Linked DNA regions of Caenorhabditis elegans. The protein of the gene in region 1 purifies or fractionates together with the protein of each later gene. This does not show direct contact. Each region holds a gene or a part of one and is shown in the gene's direction. Other genes may lie near its edges.

Region 1 (10,248 bases):
TGAAACAAATTAAAACAATTTTTTTCAAGTGACGATGAACTTTTTTCTAGTTAATACTGCTTAACTTTGCTTTCAATAAATTTTCTAAACCCATAGTGATAAGCAACATTTAAACCCTCCCCACTTTGTTGTCTAATCCTCTTTTCTTTTGACATTTTTCCACCCAATTTTTCCCCAATTTTTGTCACATTTAAGAAACGAGATGCATCCAAAATAGTTATAATCGCATCAATCCTCGTGCTGTTGCGATCATTCCGCTAATTAAAGCAGTGAAAAACATCGAAGAAGATGGATATTTGAAAAGACATTTTGGGACACGTTTAAGAAATTAGAATTGATATAGGGATGTAGGAAGAAAATTTAATGAAAAAAGTTCATATGAACTTTTTTTGACAATTTGGAGATATTTTTAGTCTAATTGGATTCGTTGATGTTAATGATTTTAGAGTATGTTCACAATTTCATTTAGTTTTAGAATTCGAACATTTTTAAAAATAATTGCTTCTAATGTAACATTTTAGAGATTGTGACAGCGTTAATAAATAGAAATATGAAAGTTTCGTATTTTATTGGCTTTATATTTATTTAAGTATGAGCCATTTTTTTTCAAAAAAAAAACACATTTAAATGTATTGAACGTTTTTTTTTCTCTTCCCAATTCTCTCCATATATCACAACATGTTTCTTCCCTTATTGTTTCTAACATTATGCCTATTTATCTTCTCAAGACTCTCAGTGTGTTCCCATATTCAGTGCTCCAACTTTTATTTGCCAATCTTAGTGCTCTCACGGAACACGGGGTTCACATAAACGGAGCAGCAGACAGCGAGTGAAACAACAATTAGCATAACCTGTTTTGTTCGGATTTTTCTGCAAAATAGTTAAATGCCTGAATCGATACTCAATTCTCATAGTTGGTGGGAGGACACTGGGATGCGCAGCGCGAGAACTACTTGTTGCTTGATTAATGAGGTCTTTCTCTCCCTCAAATGGAAGAGAGAAATGAGGGGCAGAATGATGTTATCAGAATTGAACAGAGTATGTGTGGTCCAGTTTTCTGTTCATATTTTGATTCATTGAAAAAATGAATTGAATTTCCAAAACTTTACTAAACACGAAAATCATTATCAAATTGTTAATCTAAAACTAGTGAACATAGGTAGACGGGTTTTAAGTGAACTGTTACTTGTGTAGATTTTGATGCAAATTGTAGGTTGTTCGTATTATTCTTAAGATTGTTGCTTTCCTAAGTCTAAAAATGCAAATCAGTTTCACGTTTCGATTAAATTATTACGTTTGAAAGAAATGGATGGTAAACGTATTGGAAAACATTATTAGGCGACTGAAATATTTTTAGGCAGACAGTTAATTAGTGGCTTGGCTTAAAAATATTAAACAAAAGAATTAGGTTTGTTTTAAATAATTTTGAGCAATCTAGAGCACAACGATGCTAGCAAGCTTTCAAACTTTTATAATTGGTAGCCCTAACGTAGTAGAATATGCTTACATTTTTATAATTTGCCTTCAATTTCAATCAAATGTTGTCTCATCTTCATTTTAAAATTATTGTTCATGTTTCAGCTCCAACTCAGCATGCGTGATAGTTGTTTGGTGCACTCAAACTTAGAACTACTAAAATCCTAATACACCATCTAGGCGTAGACCTTCCTATATTTTTCCTCTTGGGTCCAAATTCGATTTCAACATCTGTACGCGAGAGTTGTTGGCAAACACCCTCAAAAACTGCAAATAAACCCTCGAGTTCTCTTTTTTTTCCATATAATTTCTCCCAAGTGTGCAAACATCTGAAAGTGAACCTTTAAATGTGTCAATTATTGTATAAGTAGGTAATATATGTTATTATAGTTTATGAGGTTCATGAGGAAGACAATAACTAGCATTTATTGGCTGCAGTTAATCAGGTATTTTGACACATGCTGATGTACTTCTAATAAATAAAAATTCTAGTTTATTCCAAAAATTTTTGTTGACTGTAGCGTTTCTTGAACTCATCTTTAATATTTTGTTAAGATCATCTTTAAAAATTCCATATTTTTCTGTTAAGAAAAATACAAATTTATTTTATTGAAATTTTTACAGTTCACAAAAATACAAGTTATGAATTTATTTAATTTTCAGAGAGTTTCCTTCACTAATCTTGTTTCTGACAGTTTTAGATTTTATTTTCTTAATTTTTAAACTCGAAACAGTTTTTATTCCCAACTTTCTGTTGGAAGTTGAATATATCGGTGTATGCCAATGAAAAATATTCTGAAAAATTAAAAACTATAATCAAAATTTGAGCTGCTAAACTTGTCGTGCAAAACTGGTTTTTTAATGAGGTCCTCAAAAACATAATTGTAAATTTTTCTCATTGAGCTTCTATCAGGTTGTCCCATAAGTTTTTGTACTTTTTTTCAAATATTTTTCCAAAACTTCTAGAAAGTTTTAAAATTTTTTCATCGTAGGTCGTGTCAAGGTCGGGTCGTCCCCTTTCAGAAAAGATTCATTTCATCCATTTCTACTTTGCCACGATGACAATCATCAAACTTGAACGTCGAGACGTTAGATTGCTTCTTCTTTATGAATTTCGTCTTGGTCATTCAGCAATGGAAGCGGAACGAAACATATGCGGTGCGATGGGTGAGGGAGCACTCTCTTATAATACAGCAAAGAGTTGGTTTCAAAAGTTCAAGAACGGCGACTTCAGTCTCGAAGAAATAGAACGTTCTGGGCGACCGGTAGAGTTAAATGAAGAAGACCTAGTGAAGCTGGTGGAGGAAGAGCCTCGTCTTAGTCTTCGTGAAATGGAAGAGAAGCTTGAGTGTTGTCATAGCACAATTGCACGTCACTTGGGTCGCCTTGGTTTTACTTCAAAACTTGGAATTTGGGTGCCTCATGAACTTTCGGCATCACAGAAGCTCACTCGGGTCAACGTTTGTACTCAACTTCTAACTTTTCGTCGAAAGTTCGATTGGCTGAACAATCTGGTTACTGGAGATGAGAAGTGGGTGCTCTATGTTAACCATTCCAGAAAACGTCAATGGCTTCCGATCGGTGAGAAAGGAATACCGACGCCAAAGCCTGATCTTCACCCAAAAAAGATTATGATCTGTGTCTGGTGGGGTGTTCAAGGACCCGTGCACTGGGAATTGTTGCCAACTAATAAAACTATCACTGCTGATTACTATTGTGCCCAATTGGACCGAGTTGCAGAAAAGACCAACGGAAAATATGAAAAACTATATTTTCTTCACGATAATGCTAGGCCTCATGTCGCCAAGAAGACTTTCCAAAAGCTGCATGATCTTGGTTGGACTGTTTTACCGCATCCACCATATTCTCCAGATCTTGCACCAACCGACTACCATTTGTTCTTGTCTCTCAGTGACTACATGCGCGACAAGCAATTCGACGACGAAGAGCATCTCAAAACTGAACTCTCCACTTTCTTCTCATCGCGTTCGCCGGATTTCTTCTCCCGTGGCATCATGATGTTACCTAGTAAATGGCAACAAGTGGTGGACACTAATGGTGAATACTTGTGTGAATAGTACTACTTGTCGCTTGAGAGAAATAAATTTTTTTCAAAAAAAAAATAGTACAAAAACTTATGGGACAACCTGATACTTCGAAAAACTATGACAAAATATTTCCACCTGCCCACCGATTTAAAAAACCTCGGAGAACACCGCAGCAAGCTCCAATCTAATTATAATTAAGGCAAAATCAATACGAAACCGTGAATAATACCTCTTCATGTGTAGAAAAAACCTTCTGCGTCTCTTGCTCCTCTCCTACATTCTCCCTCTATCTCGACCACCGCCAGTTGAGGGAGGGAGGCGAAACGGTCAGCAGCAGCCAGCAGCAGTCATCTTTTGCTGTGTTGTATGTGTGTGTGTGTGTGTGTGTGTGTGTGTGTGTGTGTGTGCCCCAGTCGTTTCCTTTTCCTTTCTCTTCTCTCGTTTTCTTGTTCTTCGTCGCCTCCACCATCCCGAACCCAGGGCCGACAAGTGAGATGCGGCGAGGGCACCCCCCAACCACGAGCCCTCGGCGGGTTTCTCTCGGCCATTGTTAACCCCGGCCCCCGTCCGTCCTCATCCTATGCAAAGCAGTGAAGTGGTGGTGGTCTCATTCGCAAACCCCCAAACCACCAAACAACACATTATTATGCCCAACACCACACAAAGTTCGAATTTTTCCTGCCCTTTTCGGTATATAAAATAGGTTACACTTTAAAAAAATCTGAAAAAAAGAGTTTCTTCCTCAAAACTTCCCTTTGCGACTCTACTTCTTTTCCCTCTCTCTTGTTTAACCACTTGTGTTTGTTGTGAAATCGAAGTCGCATATCCTCTATCTTGTTCCATTTTTTCGTTTTTTACACTGCTACTTGTAACGTTTCTTTTGTTTCAGAAACCCAGGGGTCCTTGCAATGGACTTCCCTTTGCCGGCTCTGCTTGCAATAGAGGATTATGATGAAAATGAGGTTTGTGGGCATTTTTAAATAGTAAAAAAATTTAAACTTATTAAAAATACTAATCGAGTAAAATAAATCAATAAAAAATAAGACTTACCCCAAAAGGTATCGAGGTCTAGATAATGAAAATGGTAATTCAACCAAAACATTTAGTTAAACTAATTTTTTAAGATTTGAAAAACACTCTTTCTAAACCTAAAGTTGAAAAAAAGATTGCTGGAATTTTTTAAATGTTAAACACTGACATTTTTTTTTGAATACTCTGAATTTTTTCAATTTAAATTGTACTTTTTTTCCTTCACCCCGTTTATCCAACTCAGCGAAACGCAGACCTAAAAATGCAATGCCCAAAACTTTTTGAAGAATTCTGTCAGAGGCAATGCATTTTTAGCAGTGTCCTCTGCCGGGCAATAGAATACGAAATGAAACATCACCCCGCAACAAGTGCACCAAAAAGAAATGCGAATAGGATGATAAAATTGATGGAATTTCAGGGTAAACTAGCTGCATCGATTCGATGGTTAATTTCACGGGTTTACGAAGAAAAACGAGATATGCCGGATAAATTAAGGGACGGAGTGCAGAGGGATGAAAATGTAAGTTTTTATTTGACTCGTGCTTAAATTTAAAAAAAACTAATAAATTCAAATTTGAAAACCACAATTTTCAAATTTTTCATCAGAAATATTATTATTTCTAATTAACTGCTGAAATTCCAAATTGAATAGCTTTTGAAAATAACTTTTTAGAAGCTGCTTAACTATCAGAAATCTTAGTTTTTCTGTAACGAAACAAAAAAAAGTATCCCAATATCTCCAAAACCAAAATTCCACAACAACCTCATCAATTATTCAGGGACACTTTCAAATTGACGAAGCCGTCGTCGGAGCCCTGTGCAATGGTTCGTTGTACGCACAAGCTGCTGCTAAGATATTCAAGGAGTCAGCGCTAGTTACTGTGAGTTTGTTCGAGGATGAGCAGCTTGTTCACTATTAATTTAAAATTCAGAAAGGCCATGGAGCAGTTCTCGCGGTGCTGACCGATTATGGAATCGATGTATTGCACGACGGAAATGAATTGGTGGAGGAGGCGCAGCTGGTTGCTTCGGCTCCTTTTAATATGGTAAGGCTTTTTATGATTAAAAACATAATTTTTTGTTCTGAAGACTTTGAATGCACTTTCTATTTTAGGGAGCTGCCAAAGGGTACGAGAAAATTTTTTTAATTTTCCAAAAATATAGTTTTGTTTAGCGGTGTTTGAAAACCTACGGAATTGATCATTTTGTTTTATTTGACATGAAAATAAGTTAGTTATGCATTGGAAATTTTGAAAGTACCTCAAAAAGTTCCTTAAAAAGTTTAAAACTGCCAAAATCTTACTTGACAAGTCACAAATTTCAGGTAGTTTTGAAGATTTTTTTCATATCTTTCAGCATAAGTACGTGCTGTTCTGAAATAGATTGAACTTTTTTAAACATAATTTTCAAACACTTTTTGTCCAAATTAAAAAAATGGAAGGATATACACAAGTACCGTTTTTCATTACAAATTTTTAAGATTCTTTAAATGGTACACAAAATTACACAGTCTACTTCTGAAAATGGTATTGAAAAATTGCAAAAAAATTTAATTTCAGTCTGCACACCTTGCAATAATTGATGCTCTTATGATGGCACACCTTCGAGATGTTATCCCAGTCAGTCGGGTGGTTGAAGCAGTAAGGTTGGTTAATTTTATCAAACTCAAACTCTTGCGTTGAAGCTGTTAATGACTATAACAAAAACACGTGAGACAGAATTTTCAAAAAAAAAAAAATCATGCTTTCGATTTGATGCTAAATTCACATATTTTCAGTAACTCTGCTATTTAGGTTTCTTAAAATTTTAGCACACCCACCTTTTCAAAAAATTCCCCAGCAGTTAAATTGATGCTATCAAAAACTAACCAGTTTAATGGAATTTATTTTCTTATTTATCGCAACAAAACTTCCTCATTCCACTTTCCCTTATTCCAGCCGTCACACAGCTGTGGAGCCCAGCGAAAAGCCCATCGACAGTGTGGATGCTCTACTTTTCTGGATAAATAAAATATGTCTTCTAGTTAGAGACGATGTAGAACGGGAGGATTCGAACACGAATATTCCGGAAATGGAGGATTTGTACGAGGATATTTCAGATGGGCAGTGTTTGTGTGCTCTATTGCATTGGTACAGACCGCATGAAATGCCTGTAGCTGGTGAGTTTTTCTCTCTCTTAAGATTAGGACCATGACTTTTAGGTTTGAGACACTTTAAGCTTGACAATTTTTGAGTACAACATATTCAGTTAAATTTGGTCGACAATTAAGTGATAACTTCAATATAAGCCCAAGGCGACACTCAAATCTATCCACTACAAACTAATTTTAAAATGAAATATTTCAGATATTTCGTTCAACGATTCAGCGACCACAAGAGACTGCCAATATAACTTAATGTTGTTACAGTAAGTCACCTCATTTTGTGTGTCACTTCACACCCTCTTTCCCCATTTCCAGACTATTCTGCCGACACCACCTCGCAGTTGACCCATTCCACTTCGAGATCGAAGATCTGCTGTACCTGCGTGACTCACTACAAATGAATGTGAACGCCTTCCTTGCTGACCTATTCGTTCAATTCGAACCGCCAGTTACACCAGAACCAGGTAATTACTTCAACCTATCTCACTCTTCCACCATTACTGAAAAATGATGATTCTAGTTGAAACACCACGCATCGGACCTTCTCCTCGACGCTTCGTGCCGGCATCTGCAATTCCTGACCTTAGAGCTGCAAATGCGGCGGCGAGAAGTTCAATGCACAATAGGAATCGACCAAGAATGTATAATCCACCTCCAGCTGTTTCACATTCTCAAGGCCCGTCGAGATCAGTGAGCAGAATGAGCCAGGACAGTTTATTTTATTCTCGTCCAGCATCGATTGCACTACAGAGGAGGAGCATGGATCAAGATTCTGTGACCGATTTTCAAACCATTCGGCAGGTATGAAAACTTTTTATTTGTTAAAGCTCACGTGTAGTTGGTGAGATTATTAATTTTTAAAAACATTCGCTCTTATATTTTAGTCTAAATTTCCAATATTGAGTTACACAAATTTGACGGTTTTTTTTCGAGAATTCTGCACTACACGTTCTCGAACTCAATGAATTCTTTTTTATTTTTGTCAAATAATGAAAGTCCTTCTTTAAACTTGAGCTCGCGTTAATATTATAGAGAGATACTTATATTTTGTAAGTTAAAAATATTTGAATTGAGCAGGAACAAGCGGGTTTTATAAAGTTAAAATAAATGCTAAAAAAAATTAAAACATGTAAACAGAGTTGTTATATAAAAAAAATTTTACATAAAAATAAAATCATTGCAGGGTTTTGAAAACCAAGCTGGAACGGCTCAACTAAATCGATATGATGGCAGTGTGACTGCATCTGTTCGGCTGGCCATGGAGGAAAAACGGAGAAAGCATGATCAACAGATGGCTCAGATGAGGTGAGTTTTTTGTTTGAAAATCGAAAAAAACTTCCCTTTAGAAAAATGACAGTGGAGAAATTTTGATTCACATCAACGGTTTTTGAACTTGAATAATGCGCTGGTCAATATATGCCAATTAAAAAACTGCGTTATTTTCGCTTCCTACTTTTAATTAGTTTTAGCTCTGCGAACGAGACGGAGCGACTCGAAAAAAGCAAGGCCGCATTTTTTGCACTCCGAAAAAACGACAACGACCAAACGAGCAAAGGAAAAGAGGAGTGGTACGACCATTTTGAAGCAAAACTACGAGCGTTGGAGCTGAGAGTGGGATTAGAAGAAGGAGAGGATGGAACTCAATCGGCCAGATTGAACAGAGCCTCTTCCCAGCCTAGTGTGGTACAAGGTATGCCTTTGAGTATTTTCAGTTTAAAAATAATTAATTAAGAGATTACCTCGCGGTGTAGTTTGTACACTGTTCAAAGTCTAAAAAATTGAATTCACGTCCGAAGTACATGCTCAGTCATGCGAGTGAACATAAAAAATAAATGTCTAGAACAGATTTGCATCCGAACAAAAAAATTGCGGAAAACTAAAATAAAAATTCATTGACCGGAAAATTGAATAATTCATTCCGTGTTCTGCTCAATCGCAGAGGACATATTGGAATTATTGAAGCGTGTTTTGATGGAGCAAGTACGAGAGAGGTTCAAATAAGTTTTTTAGCTGAATTTTTCTGTTTAGAGCGCAAATTGGAAAGTACAAAATGTAGGGAATTGTAAGATCTCTCTCAGTTATTTCAAGCTCTTTCGTGAGTATACTGTAATATAGTTTTTGAGAATCGGAAAATTGAATGCATCCTTCGAAAAATTTCTTGAAAACTTTTCTACAATATTTACCTCATTCTCCTTGCGAACCCCATCATCTCCCTAATCTCCCGCATTACCAAAACAAACACATATTTTAGCCGGTCAAACATACCCAGCCAACTACATGACATTGCCGATGAACGCAGCTGCACAAATGACACAGTCTTATATTCAACATCCACAAACCCCACACGACTACTACATGCAGCAGCAAATGCAGCAACAGCAGCAGCAACAGGCTCAAGCTCAGAGCAACTATGCGAGTCCTTCTCAGGTTGGTGAGATGAATCTTAATACGTTTGATGAGTTTTCAAATTTCACAGTTCATATTTTTAAGAGCAAAAAAAAACTGACAACTAAAATTAAATAACTAGGAAATTAAAAAAAAACCCCCCCCCCCCCCCCCCCGTGAGTGACTTGCAATAGTTAAATAAAAACGATTTCAGCTCCGAAACAGCTTGAGCAACGGAATGATCAACCACGCGGGCTATATAGTTCAATCAATGTACCCCGGTGATTATCAACAACAGCAACAACAAATGCAAATGCAGCAGGGACAAATGCCAGTGCAGCCAGTTGGTGCATACACTCCGGAAGGATATTTCATTCCACATCACATGCAGCCGATTCCAGTACAACAGGGTTATCAACAGGTGAGTCTTGAATGTGCAATATTGTCCTGACGGTTTTAACTAGATTTATAATTAACGAGTACTCACTAGGTTCATATGAACTACTTACCATTCACTAGGGAAACTAGTTCAACTCAAAAATAAGGAATTCGGCAGCACTTAACTGACACGTGGAAAGAGAAGTTATGGTCTTAACATAGAACACGCTGCCATTATTTTGAAATGCCCATTGTGTTAGCTTTTAGAACATGTATCACTTGTCCAATAATTTTCTTAAAATCATGCAAAACGTCTCGTTAAAATCAATGTAATTGAAATTTGAGAAAAAAATGGAAAAAGTATATCAAAAGCTATTCATTTCAATTTCCACCACCCATTATGAGCCCAACACCACATTGCAACACATTTAATTTCCTAGATGCCTCAACCCGGAATGGGTTTTAATGGAATGCCTGCCACCAGTCAACCCGGCTTCAATATGGAGGGCTCTCCCGCGCAGATGGGCTACATTCAAACAGCCAATAAGCCGTTAGATATGGAAATGCCGATGCAACAGCAGCCACCACAACAGCCACCACAACAAATGCTTCCTCCCAATCAAAACGCCTTCCATCTTCATTCAAAGAGTGATGATGTAGGTTTAAAAGTTCAACAAAAAACTTTTCCTGGGCTTTTCCTTTTAAGTTCACAAAAATAAATTTCTAGGCGACTCAAGTGCAAGCTGACCCACCATTGGAAATCAATAGAAATCTGACAAACTGGGGAAT
Region 2 (10,248 bases), on another chromosome or scaffold:
TGATTGATGATGATTATAATTCTTACAAATTTCTCCAAAACGCATACAGATATTATACAAATGTGACAATTTATATTATTAATATTTATCTCGGCAAATGGATGTGTGAGATACCACTCGAAAATAGTGTTGGAGAGGAAGAGGCGCAGAGTAATATCGGGAAAAGCCGGAGAAAAGTGAAATTTCAGGAGAAGGAATTTCGTTTTCAACAAAGCATTCACTGAAATGTGTGTGGATTTCGTGAAATCATTCGGATTTGGAAATTCGATACAGAAGTTTTTTAGTCACTTGCCCTTTGAGCCATTTTTGAAGATACAGTATCAAATTTCACAATGAATCATTTTAACGCCTTTATAAATGAATAGTACGGCACTTTGTATCTGAAATCTCATATTTGAAAAAGTTTGTAACAGTTTACAGTACTTTTTTCCTCATTTTCATGTGAAAAATATTTTTGAAAAACCGCCAATTGAAATGTACGCAACTTTGCGTGAACTGTGGTGTACTGACGAAATAACGCACAGATCCGAGTTTTTTTGTTTTTTTAAACTTTAAACTCGTTTTCGTTTTTATTCCTGTGAAAATTTCTTGAAATATCGTAAGTTTTCCTCGAATATTTCGAAATTTCATACAGTTTGTTAGTATTCGTAATGTTATCACCTCCAGAATAGGAAAATATGCAAAACTCCGTTCAAATCACAGTTCCGCGCTGTTATTATTCTCATCCCTTTTTTTTCCTTTTTTGTGGTAAAAGATACAAAAGAATCTGCATAAACAGGAGAAATGAATGGAATAGAAAGTGCTTCAGTGTTTCAAAGGTCATCTATTGTCCATTCACTTGGTCCGCAAGGTACGAACCAATCGGGAAACATTTTTCGTTTACAAAGTAACAGTTCGGCGGTTTTTTTTGAGTTTAGAGTATTGTTAGAAGTTATCATGAATTTAGGGTATTTTTACAGAAAATAATTCTTATTCAATGAGTAATAATTGTTCAGAACACTGAAATTCACTAAGATTGTGTATCTTAACAAAAAACGCCCGAATTGAAACATCAGGATGAATATTTTTGTTCTTATTCCCATCCTTCCACGCCACCTGGGCGTCAAAGTTACCCGCCAGACAGTTTTTCATTTTCTCTAATTCTCTTCCTACTCAGTTTTTTCCAGAAATTCACTAAAATTTTTCATCTCAAATTTTGTTTCTTTTGAATATGGAGGCTCGTGGTTCTCCTATTTATTCGAAACGTGATTCTCGTTTTTTTATTCCTTCGAAAAACTGTTTTCAAAACATTTTTCTCGTTCCCCATAGTGTTTTGAGAGAGATTTTTTGCATATTGAATTTTCTTTTTCAGAAAAATTGTGCCCCGGCAATAAAAACATCTATTGAGAATCTCCGATATAATAGTAACTGTTATTACTTATAAATTAAAGGTGGTTCATGAAGTCGTTTCCAACTCATATAAAACTTTAAATTTCTTCCATGATTCAGTCAGATTCACTTTTTTGATGTACATCAGAAACGATTAAAAAGCAATTTACAAAATTGAACAATATCTAGTAAAAACTCATGTAAATCCTGTCACGAGACCCATCCAGCTGTCTGTCATAATCTTACCGTGAAACAATTTTCAACAATCGCAGACAGGCAAGTTTTGCTGTCGTCGTGAAACGCGCAACTATGCGGAAAGGTGTTATTATAATCACAAAATAGTATCATCATGACGTCCACGCTATGCCTCCCGATTGTTTTCATTGTTGTGAAAAGACGGTGTGCTGAATTGTTATAGTAGTCGTAAAAATTACTGATTTTTTTTTCACACTGATTACTACTATTGTTCTGGGTTTCTCGATGATTCGAGATTCCAATTTCAGTTGTGGTTTTCATTCGTCGGGTTTTTGGAGATTATAACACTTAAAGAATTAGGGAAATCAGATGCAAACTTTTGAAACTTTTGTATTTTTCTCCGTACGTGTCTTTTTTTGAATCTAGAAAGTTAATCATTTTCATATTGTTTTGTGAATTATGCATGGCTGGTAGGACGGTAATACAAACAAAACTTTTTTTCTAGGCGGAAACTATGTTTGTTTTGATTTTTAAAATAGTGTTAAAGAGCTGTCTAGGTATATTTCACTAGTTTTCATTGCAAGTTTTGACATTTTCGTGTCGAGACCCCCCCCCCCCCTATTCCTACTGGAAATTCAAAATCATTAGTCTTTTTTCGTGCCCTAGTGGAACACTATTCCTCTATAAATTCCACCGATCTCCGTGTTGTTGTTCCCGTTGTTACCAAATCAAATCAGTCTAATTTGACCAATGCCTGATTTGTTTCTCAATTTCAATTTCAGTTGTGGTTTTCAGTCGTCTATTTCTATCCTATCAATTATCCATATTTTTTAAAATCAATTCTTTCTTTTTTTCAGACTGAAAATCCAAACTTGGAAAGACATCGCACAGAAATATGAAAAAGATGATAGGACTGGACAAGAAGGAAGGTGTCGGTGGAAGTTCATCCAACATTTCGAACAGCTCTGGGAATGGCACCTCGAAAAAGGATAGAAAAGTTCTGGGCAAAAAGGTATGTAAATTTATTGTTTTAAAAATATCCAAAATAAAACACCCTTATATCCCCTATTATCTGAATTTTAAAGCGAAAAGAAAGTCTTCTTCGAAAACATCACTATTAGAAACCGCTAAACCGTTTCGTCCTCTTGCTGTAGAATAATTGTTAGAATCGGTTGCTAATGGGATTGGTTTTTGTAGAAAACAACAGTTGTTACTTTGTTCTTACACAGCTTACAATTTTTATCAATCGCTAATATTATTACGTGCCACAAATCCATCGATCACATCATTCTTCCGCAATACCAAGTACATCTGGCACCATGCCAAATGATGTCTGTCCCTTACTCACCCTCAAACATGGGGAAGCACTCTCTGCGTCTCCACTGATCGGAATACTCTTTCATTCATCTCACCTTCCATTCACATTGAAGACATTTGAATACCACATTTTGGCGGCGACCGTGAGGCACTGTGTCCGAACAGGAGTGTGCTAGTGGTAACGAGACCCAAAGTCCCGTCTTTTTACTCATTTAGTGGTACTTCGCATCTCAAGGTCCTTTTGTAAATTAATTTTTATTTTTTACTTGTAGTAAAGTTCCTTTCTTATTTTGCGTGTGACTTTCCTTATTCTAGTACTACGAGCATGTGTCCTTGGGGGCTCATTTTCGTAGAGAAATCGCCTATTTCTTCAGTTTTTGTTTTGTCCGAATGGCTCACAGGAATTTTTTGATTGCCCAATAGAAAGAATGTTCATTTTCATTTTTGACCATTTCCGCTGTTCTCTTACTTACTTACTTACTTACTTGAAGTTGTCTGTGAACTACCAAAAAAAAAAGTGAACCTCAAATTCAGCCTCATGATTACCGATTTGATGTAAACATGTTTTTGAACTAGCGACATTCCAATCTTATCAATGTTATCAGCCAGCTGTAGTAAAGTAGTTCAGAATATTTCTCACTTGAAAAGCTTTTTAAATTTCTGTATCTTCATCAATTTGTGATATAAAGTGTACTATTTTAGTTTTAGAATTTTTAGTATTTTTAGAATTAGTTAGATGTTGATAAATATTTTCCGTTCTTATTAGTCATACTCTTCCCCATTTTTTCTTCCTTTCTCCTCAGGCAGTTGGTTGATTGGGTCATCTGGCATCTTACTCATTTCGTTTTTTTTTCAATAAGCTCCAGTAGAGAGAGAGAGCCTTTGACTTTTTCCATTGCTGTTTGATAGATTTTGTTCTTATTAAAATGCCTAACGATGTACCATAAGTTCTTCGGAACCAACGGTTATTTTAAACCTAGGAAATTGTTGAGACGTTATCCTAGATATCCTAGAGAGAGATATCTAGGTGATCCTAGATAATTTTAAAAAAAAATGTATCCAGAAACCTTAAAAAAAACAAATCTGGCCAGTTGACGCCCGTTAACACTAGCGATTTGGAACGAGAGGACAGATGTTTTGTGTTGAAGAGAGAGAAGTTTCCATCGGTCAGTCAATTGGAAGAATTTCGTTTTGTCTGGCGCAATTCGTTTCGTTTTAAAGTTTGGTTGTATACCATTTGGACTTAACTGAAAGGGTGTCACTTCTATCTGTTTAAATTATTCTTATTCTAGGTGTATCCCACAATTGCCTAATTTTAAATTAGCGTTTCTAAACTCATATGTCACATCTCGCAACTTAAACAGTTTTTCTTTTAGGTGTTTACCAAATATCTAGGTGTTCTCTCTCTGTTAAATGTCTATGTGACTATGCTATTTGCTCTTTAGCTTATCAGTTACCAATGATCATAGAAATCTTTCCTCTTGAAGTTAAATGTTACTTTCTGAAAGTTTATCTAACAAAATTTTCAGTTTTCAAACAATTGTCTTATTTTCAGTGTTAAAAAACCCACCCAATTGCCTTGATATCTTTGTCTCGTATCTCTCTCTCTCTCTCTTCTCAACGGCTTTACTATCCGGTTTTCTGTCCGCCTCATTGGCTCAGTGGCAGAGCGTCTGTCTAGTAAACAGAAGGTCGCTGGTTCGATTCCAGCATGAGGCACCGAATTTTTTTGAAGAAATCTTAGTCTTTAACATCGGATTACTGTAGAATTATCACATATTTTTTGAGAACGTATCCAGAAAACATTTTTAGACATTTTAAGGTGTTCTATCATTCGTGAAATTAAGCGATCATTGCACATGTAGTAATTTTCTTTAAAATTTATATTTGCACTTCAGTATTTTGAACGATCGGCAGTGACTTCATGCATGTGTGAATAGAAAATACACATTGTAGAGCATCCGGCCGGCGAACACGCTATCATTCATATTTCTGTCAACAGTGATATGTCTATGATAATCATATGCTCAAAAAGCACCACCAGCCTGTCCACTTGACATGAGTCTCCATTTTGACCGTCTCTCCTTCTCTACTTTCTCCATGAGTCCTCTTATCTCCTTCACATGTGCCCAATGACCCATTTGGCGGGAAAAATCAGACAAAAAAGAGAAGAGAGCAAGGGATTTGCATACTGTAAAACAGTGTCAAATTTCCTTCAAGAATGAACGAGCTTTATGTTAGCCGCCAAAAAACAAGTAGTTGGATTCCTTTTAAATATATTTTATTTATGAGGACGAAAATCCCAATCAACTCAACGATGTGTAATAAATATCTTAAAATGTAGGATTGCAGTTTATGAATTTCCGCGAAAACGTGAGAGTTTAAATTAAATAGGCTGTTCTCAGATACTAGATTTTAAGCAAATTATATGCTGGCTGAAAACATATTATTTCAAAACTTAATGAAGAATGAGCTAATCTCCATTCCCGAGTTCATTTTCTTGTTTTCCGGAGCACTTCTCAAATTCTCTTCCTCTCCCTTTTTCGCTTTCTCCAAATACCGAAGTGACTGTGTTTATTTTATATTTATTTTGTTCTTTTATCACTAGGTTCTCACACATTTCCTCCATTTCTCACTTTTTCATCCAACGACCCGCATGCCCTGTCGATTTGCCTGCCATTCAATTTGAATAGATTTCATTTTTGTATTTTTCTCCCCAAGAATCAGATGACATTCCACTTCTCTTTTTCCCCTTCTTCTCACTTTTCTAGAGTTCGCTGATTGCCTTCAATTTTTAGTTGGTTTTCTGTATATGGAAAATAACAAAGTCTCTATTTTTCGTAAGAAAATTATTTTCCAATCGGTTATTCATTTCTTCACTATTTTTCTCCCTGGTTTTTGATTTCTCTGCACTTGTCAATACAATTTCAATTCAATTCACGGTTTTACCTTCATTTACGATTAGATTTTATTACCTGTATTGAGGTTATTTTGACCGTTTCGGTAATCCGCTCCACTTTATTAATTCAATTCGTTCCGTTCAAAATCTCGTTCAGTTTGAAACATTTCCAGCTTAAAAATGTCTAGCGATGATTATGAGTCAATTGACACGCCACGTGTAGCTTCACTAGCTGATATGAATCGACTTCCTACCCAATCTCGTCATTCAAGTTATTCAACGGATGACGATGAAGACGTGACTCCTACACCATCAGCTTCTAATTCTGCTCCAAAAAATACAATTCTAGACCCTCTACAAGCGCAGTTTCTTCACCCGAATTCTGAAAATTCTGATATAGACGAGCCTCGTGTGCAATTGCGCGAAAAGAAAAAAGCGACTCGTGCACAAGATGCAACTGTTTCTCATTTCTTGGAAGATCAAGTTCCTAATCAGAAATTCAAAAGGAGAAGCGCTGAAAGACATTCAATGTTGGCTGGAGCTGCTGATTTTGCTAGTCGTAGGAGTCCATTTCATTTAAGTGGAGCGAATGGTTCTGGAAGATGGACTGATTTGTTCTCATCGAGCAGATTTAAACGAAAACAACGACAGAAATTAAATGTTCGTATCTGGGAATTCTTCTACCTAAAAATACAGAAATAACATCTTATTATTAGAGAAAAGTAATAATAATAATTAGAGTTTGCAAAATCCTCAAATTAATATTTTCCCCACAAGTATATTTTCTTATTTTCAGAATGTTCCATCATCGTCATATTCAAACAATGACTACGGTACATATGCAGGCACACAAAGTATTGGAGGTTTCTCGATTGCTTCAAATTCTTCAGGTAATATTTTTTTTCTTAATCTTGAAAATAAAAATTATGTCGCTAGTTAAAGGTAGAGTACGGTCAATATTGAAATTAAAACCCGTTCCTATGGTGCTAAGATGTCAAAATGTCATAGAACTTCTCAAAAATATTTTGAAATTTTTTTATTATTTCACAATGTGATTTGTGAAAAAACGGTGAAAACTGATTGTGAGTTTTTGCCACTTTTCTTTCACTTATTTTTGACTGTAGATTTAAAACATGTTATTATGATATTTAATAATTTTAGCGTCATAGGAAGCGTTTTTCAAATTGTTTTCCCATTGACCGTATTTCACTTTTAAACGAGCATTAAACTGAATTATTTCGAAGATCTCCATTTTCAATATAAAATAGTTCCAGGAGAATCATTTGCCTTGTCAGGAACTGAAGACGAAATACGAGAAGAATTCAGGAAAATTATGGTAATATTCTTTATAGAGTTCTTATTATATTTCTACTAATTTTGCAGCTCGACAAAGGTCTGCCCGAAGCTGATAAAATTATTTCTAATACGCCACTTGATCAAATGAAAATGATGATTGAGAATTCGAGAAAACAAGATAATCAGGCGAAGGGAAGGTCTCCGGAATGGGTTGTACGAGTATTGGGAGAAATATTGAAAACGAAAAACATTCCGGAATGCAAGCAGGATATTGTTACTGTACGGGTTCAGCTAGTTGGTCAAGGTGTTTCATTTCTTAATAAGGTTCGTTTTTTAAGATAGATATTGTTACTATTAAAATACATATTTATTTTCAGTTCGCCGTAGAAGTTCATGACGAGTCTGGTCGCACTGGAGCTGATCTTATCTGCTGTCTCTACTCATTAGTCTTGAAACGACTGAGAAGCAGTGAAGTTGGCTCGAAATATGAGCTTGATTTGATTGATTTCTTGCAAGAAATCGTCAGATGTGTCCGAACGCTAATTAATACACATGTAAGTTTGTATGTTTTCAGTCTAATTCTAATTCTACACTATTTCAGGTTGGCCTTGTTCTTGTATTGCGACGGAACTCTCCTGTATACTCACTTCTCATTCAAACATTATGCGTCCTGAACAGGCGAGAGCAAAACGATCATGAAGCAGCTGAGATTCGAGCTATTCGGGTTGATGTGGTTAGAACATGTTATACGTTGATTTTTGTTCAACATGATACGCTGTCAACTCCGATTGAAATGACTGGGTAAAAATTTTGAACAGTTCAAATCTTATTTAATTGAAATGCATTTCAGTCAACAAAAGATGTTCATGGAGTTGTCCTTAATAGCTAAAGCTGAATCCAAACGGCTCAATGAACCAGTTTCTCGATTTCGGCCCCTCATCAGCTGCATCGATTTTCTAGAATCCCGCGATCCAAAACAAGGAATGTACGTACTTCTGATGATAAATATGATGATCAATGGTGTCGATCGTAACATAAGTGATGATCAAATGTGGACAGAAGAGACGATGTGGCAAGCACGAATGAGATTAAGGAGTGAAGCTGCAAAAGATAAACTTCACAAGTACATTGAGGTAAATTTGATTGTTTCAGAAAAATAATCTTATCCCAGATATTTTCCAGAAATTCACTACATCTGAAACTGTAAACTCGCAAATTCGGGATGTTGCTCAGAACATGCTCACTGAGCACAATGCAGATTTGGAAACACTGATGGGGAAGCTTGAAAATGTAAAAGGAGAATATGATACCTTGGATGGATGTTTTGAACTTCTTGCCGCCAACTCTGAAGCCACCGGAACCGAGACAGTGCTCCTTTCAATTTTACAGCTTATGACTCTTACTAATGAGGATATGTCGACGAAAAGATCGTATATGAAACTCATCGAGACAGCCATATCAGATATTCTTCTGCATCGAACTCCAATCGATCCACAAGCGGATTATAAGTTTGTGTTTGAGGTTCCTGTGGCCGAGATCATTGGTTTGTGATCGAGAGTATATTGAAAAATTAAATAATTTTAATTACAGATAAAATGCAAGACGAAGAGATGGCCAAAAAAGTTCGACAAGCCACGTCGGCCAAACAGGAAGCTGTTGCAATGCAAGGAGAATACTGGAAAACATTATGTGATTTCCAGAAAGAAGCTGAAGAACTGAGAAAACATGTATATTTACTTTTTTAGAAGCGGTTTGATTGAAACATGTTATTTTTCAGATAAATGATCCAAAAATACCTCTTCCTCCGCCAACGAAGATGAACTTGTCGGCTCCATCCACATCTGCTGGTGGATCTTCAGCTCTACCGCCAATAACTGGAGGTCCACCACCACCTCCAGGTCTCCCACCAATCACAGGAGGGCCGCCTCCACCTCCTCCTCCTGGTGGTCTTCCTCCAATCACCGGAGGACCCCCGCCGCCGCCTCCACCGGGAGGATTGCCTCCAATATCTGGAGGTCCTCCACCACCTCCGCCGCCTCCTGGAGGATGTCCACCTCCACCTCCTCCACCACCACCGGGAGGGTTCAAGGGCGGACCGCCACCACCACCTCCTCCAGGCATGTTCGCACCGATGGCTCCCGTGATACCTGATTACCTTCCACCCAAGAAGGTTCCAAAGGTTGATGGTCCCATGAGAAAGTTCCCATGGGGAGCACATACTATCAACCCTCGGGATATTCCAAGAGAGTCGTTCTGGGTTGGAACAAACGAAGAACAGCTGACCAGCGATCGAATGTTCGATCGTTTACGAACCAAATTCGCCACGAAACCTGCTGCAAATAGTGGTACTCTTGGTGGTGTCTTGAATAGCAAAAAGAAAGTGAAGACAGCACAAGTCATTCATGACGATAAATTACTTCAAAAATTGGGTAAACTCGAAGAAGTATATCCTTTTTTATGATCTTTTTCTTGCAGGCATTCTTCAAGGATCAATCAAAATGTCGCATTCAGAGCTCAAGCTGGCGATTTTGGAAGTCAACGAAAAGGTTTTAACTGTCGGATTCTTGGAGCAACTTCGATCAGCAATGCCAGTGGAGAAGGAGCTTATTGACAAGCTGAGAGCGGTGAACAAGGCTCAATTTGAGGAAATGCCCGAGGGTGAACAATTTGTCACTCGTCTGCTCCAAATTCAAGGTCTTCCGCTTCGTCTCGACTTGGTTCTATTCAAAATGCGATTCTCTGAAGTGTTGAATGAACTGAAACCAGCCATGTCGTCAGTGATGGAAGCGTGCGAAGAAGTACGAGCATCTGAAGGATTCCGAACATTTTTGAAACTTGTTTTGGCGACTGGAAACTTTATGGGCGGAGCGACAAAAAACTATTCGAGTGCTTACGCGTTCGACATGAGAATGCTGACAAGACTGGTTGATACAAAAGATGTCGATAATCGGCATACTCTTCTACATCATTTAATTGAAGAAATGAAGAGAATCGATCCAAGACGAGCACGGTGAGTAGATTCCTTTACTTGCTTTCTCAAAATTTAAAAAATTTAAGATTTGCTCTCACCGACTTCCATCATTGCATTGAATCGTCCCGAGTGAATGCGGATGAAATTCGAAAAACTGTTCAACTGACAGAGAATAACATTAAAAAACTGGAGAACTGCTTAA

Evidence for each region. The genes of interacting proteins can lie anywhere in the genome.
Region 2: the proteins of ptrn-1 (region 1) and cyk-1 purify together in Caenorhabditis elegans (affinity purification with western blotting, with the first as the bait; one study listed by BioGRID). This does not show direct contact.

Annotation. Positions count from the first base shown.
Region 1 is NC_003284.9:17,024,385-17,034,632, reverse strand, and holds the start of ptrn-1 (Patronin (microtubule-binding protein) homolog), read left to right. Parts: upstream 1-4,432; coding exon 4,433-4,486; intron 4,487-4,971; coding exon 4,972-5,073; intron 5,074-5,332; coding exon 5,333-5,434; intron 5,435-5,485; coding exon 5,486-5,599; intron 5,600-6,112; coding exon 6,113-6,198; intron 6,199-6,490; coding exon 6,491-6,711; intron 6,712-6,898; coding exon 6,899-6,959; intron 6,960-7,011; coding exon 7,012-7,160; intron 7,161-7,216; coding exon 7,217-7,497; intron 7,498-7,879; coding exon 7,880-8,001; intron 8,002-8,159; coding exon 8,160-8,386; intron 8,387-8,947; coding exon 8,948-9,123; intron 9,124-9,295; coding exon 9,296-9,502; intron 9,503-9,899; coding exon 9,900-10,115; intron 10,116-10,186; coding exon 10,187-10,248. UniProt on the Caenorhabditis elegans protein: Required for microtubule stability and anchorage by binding to the minus ends of microtubules.
Region 2 is NC_003281.10:7,024,908-7,035,155, reverse strand, and holds the start of cyk-1 (WAPL domain-containing protein), read left to right. Parts: upstream 1-5,950; 5' UTR 5,951-5,959; coding exon 5,960-6,439; intron 6,440-6,575; coding exon 6,576-6,669; intron 6,670-7,053; coding exon 7,054-7,115; intron 7,116-7,162; coding exon 7,163-7,399; intron 7,400-7,452; coding exon 7,453-7,629; intron 7,630-7,676; coding exon 7,677-7,876; intron 7,877-7,925; coding exon 7,926-8,208; intron 8,209-8,257; coding exon 8,258-8,618; intron 8,619-8,665; coding exon 8,666-8,802; intron 8,803-8,852; coding exon 8,853-9,504; intron 9,505-9,550; coding exon 9,551-10,085; intron 10,086-10,132; coding exon 10,133-10,248.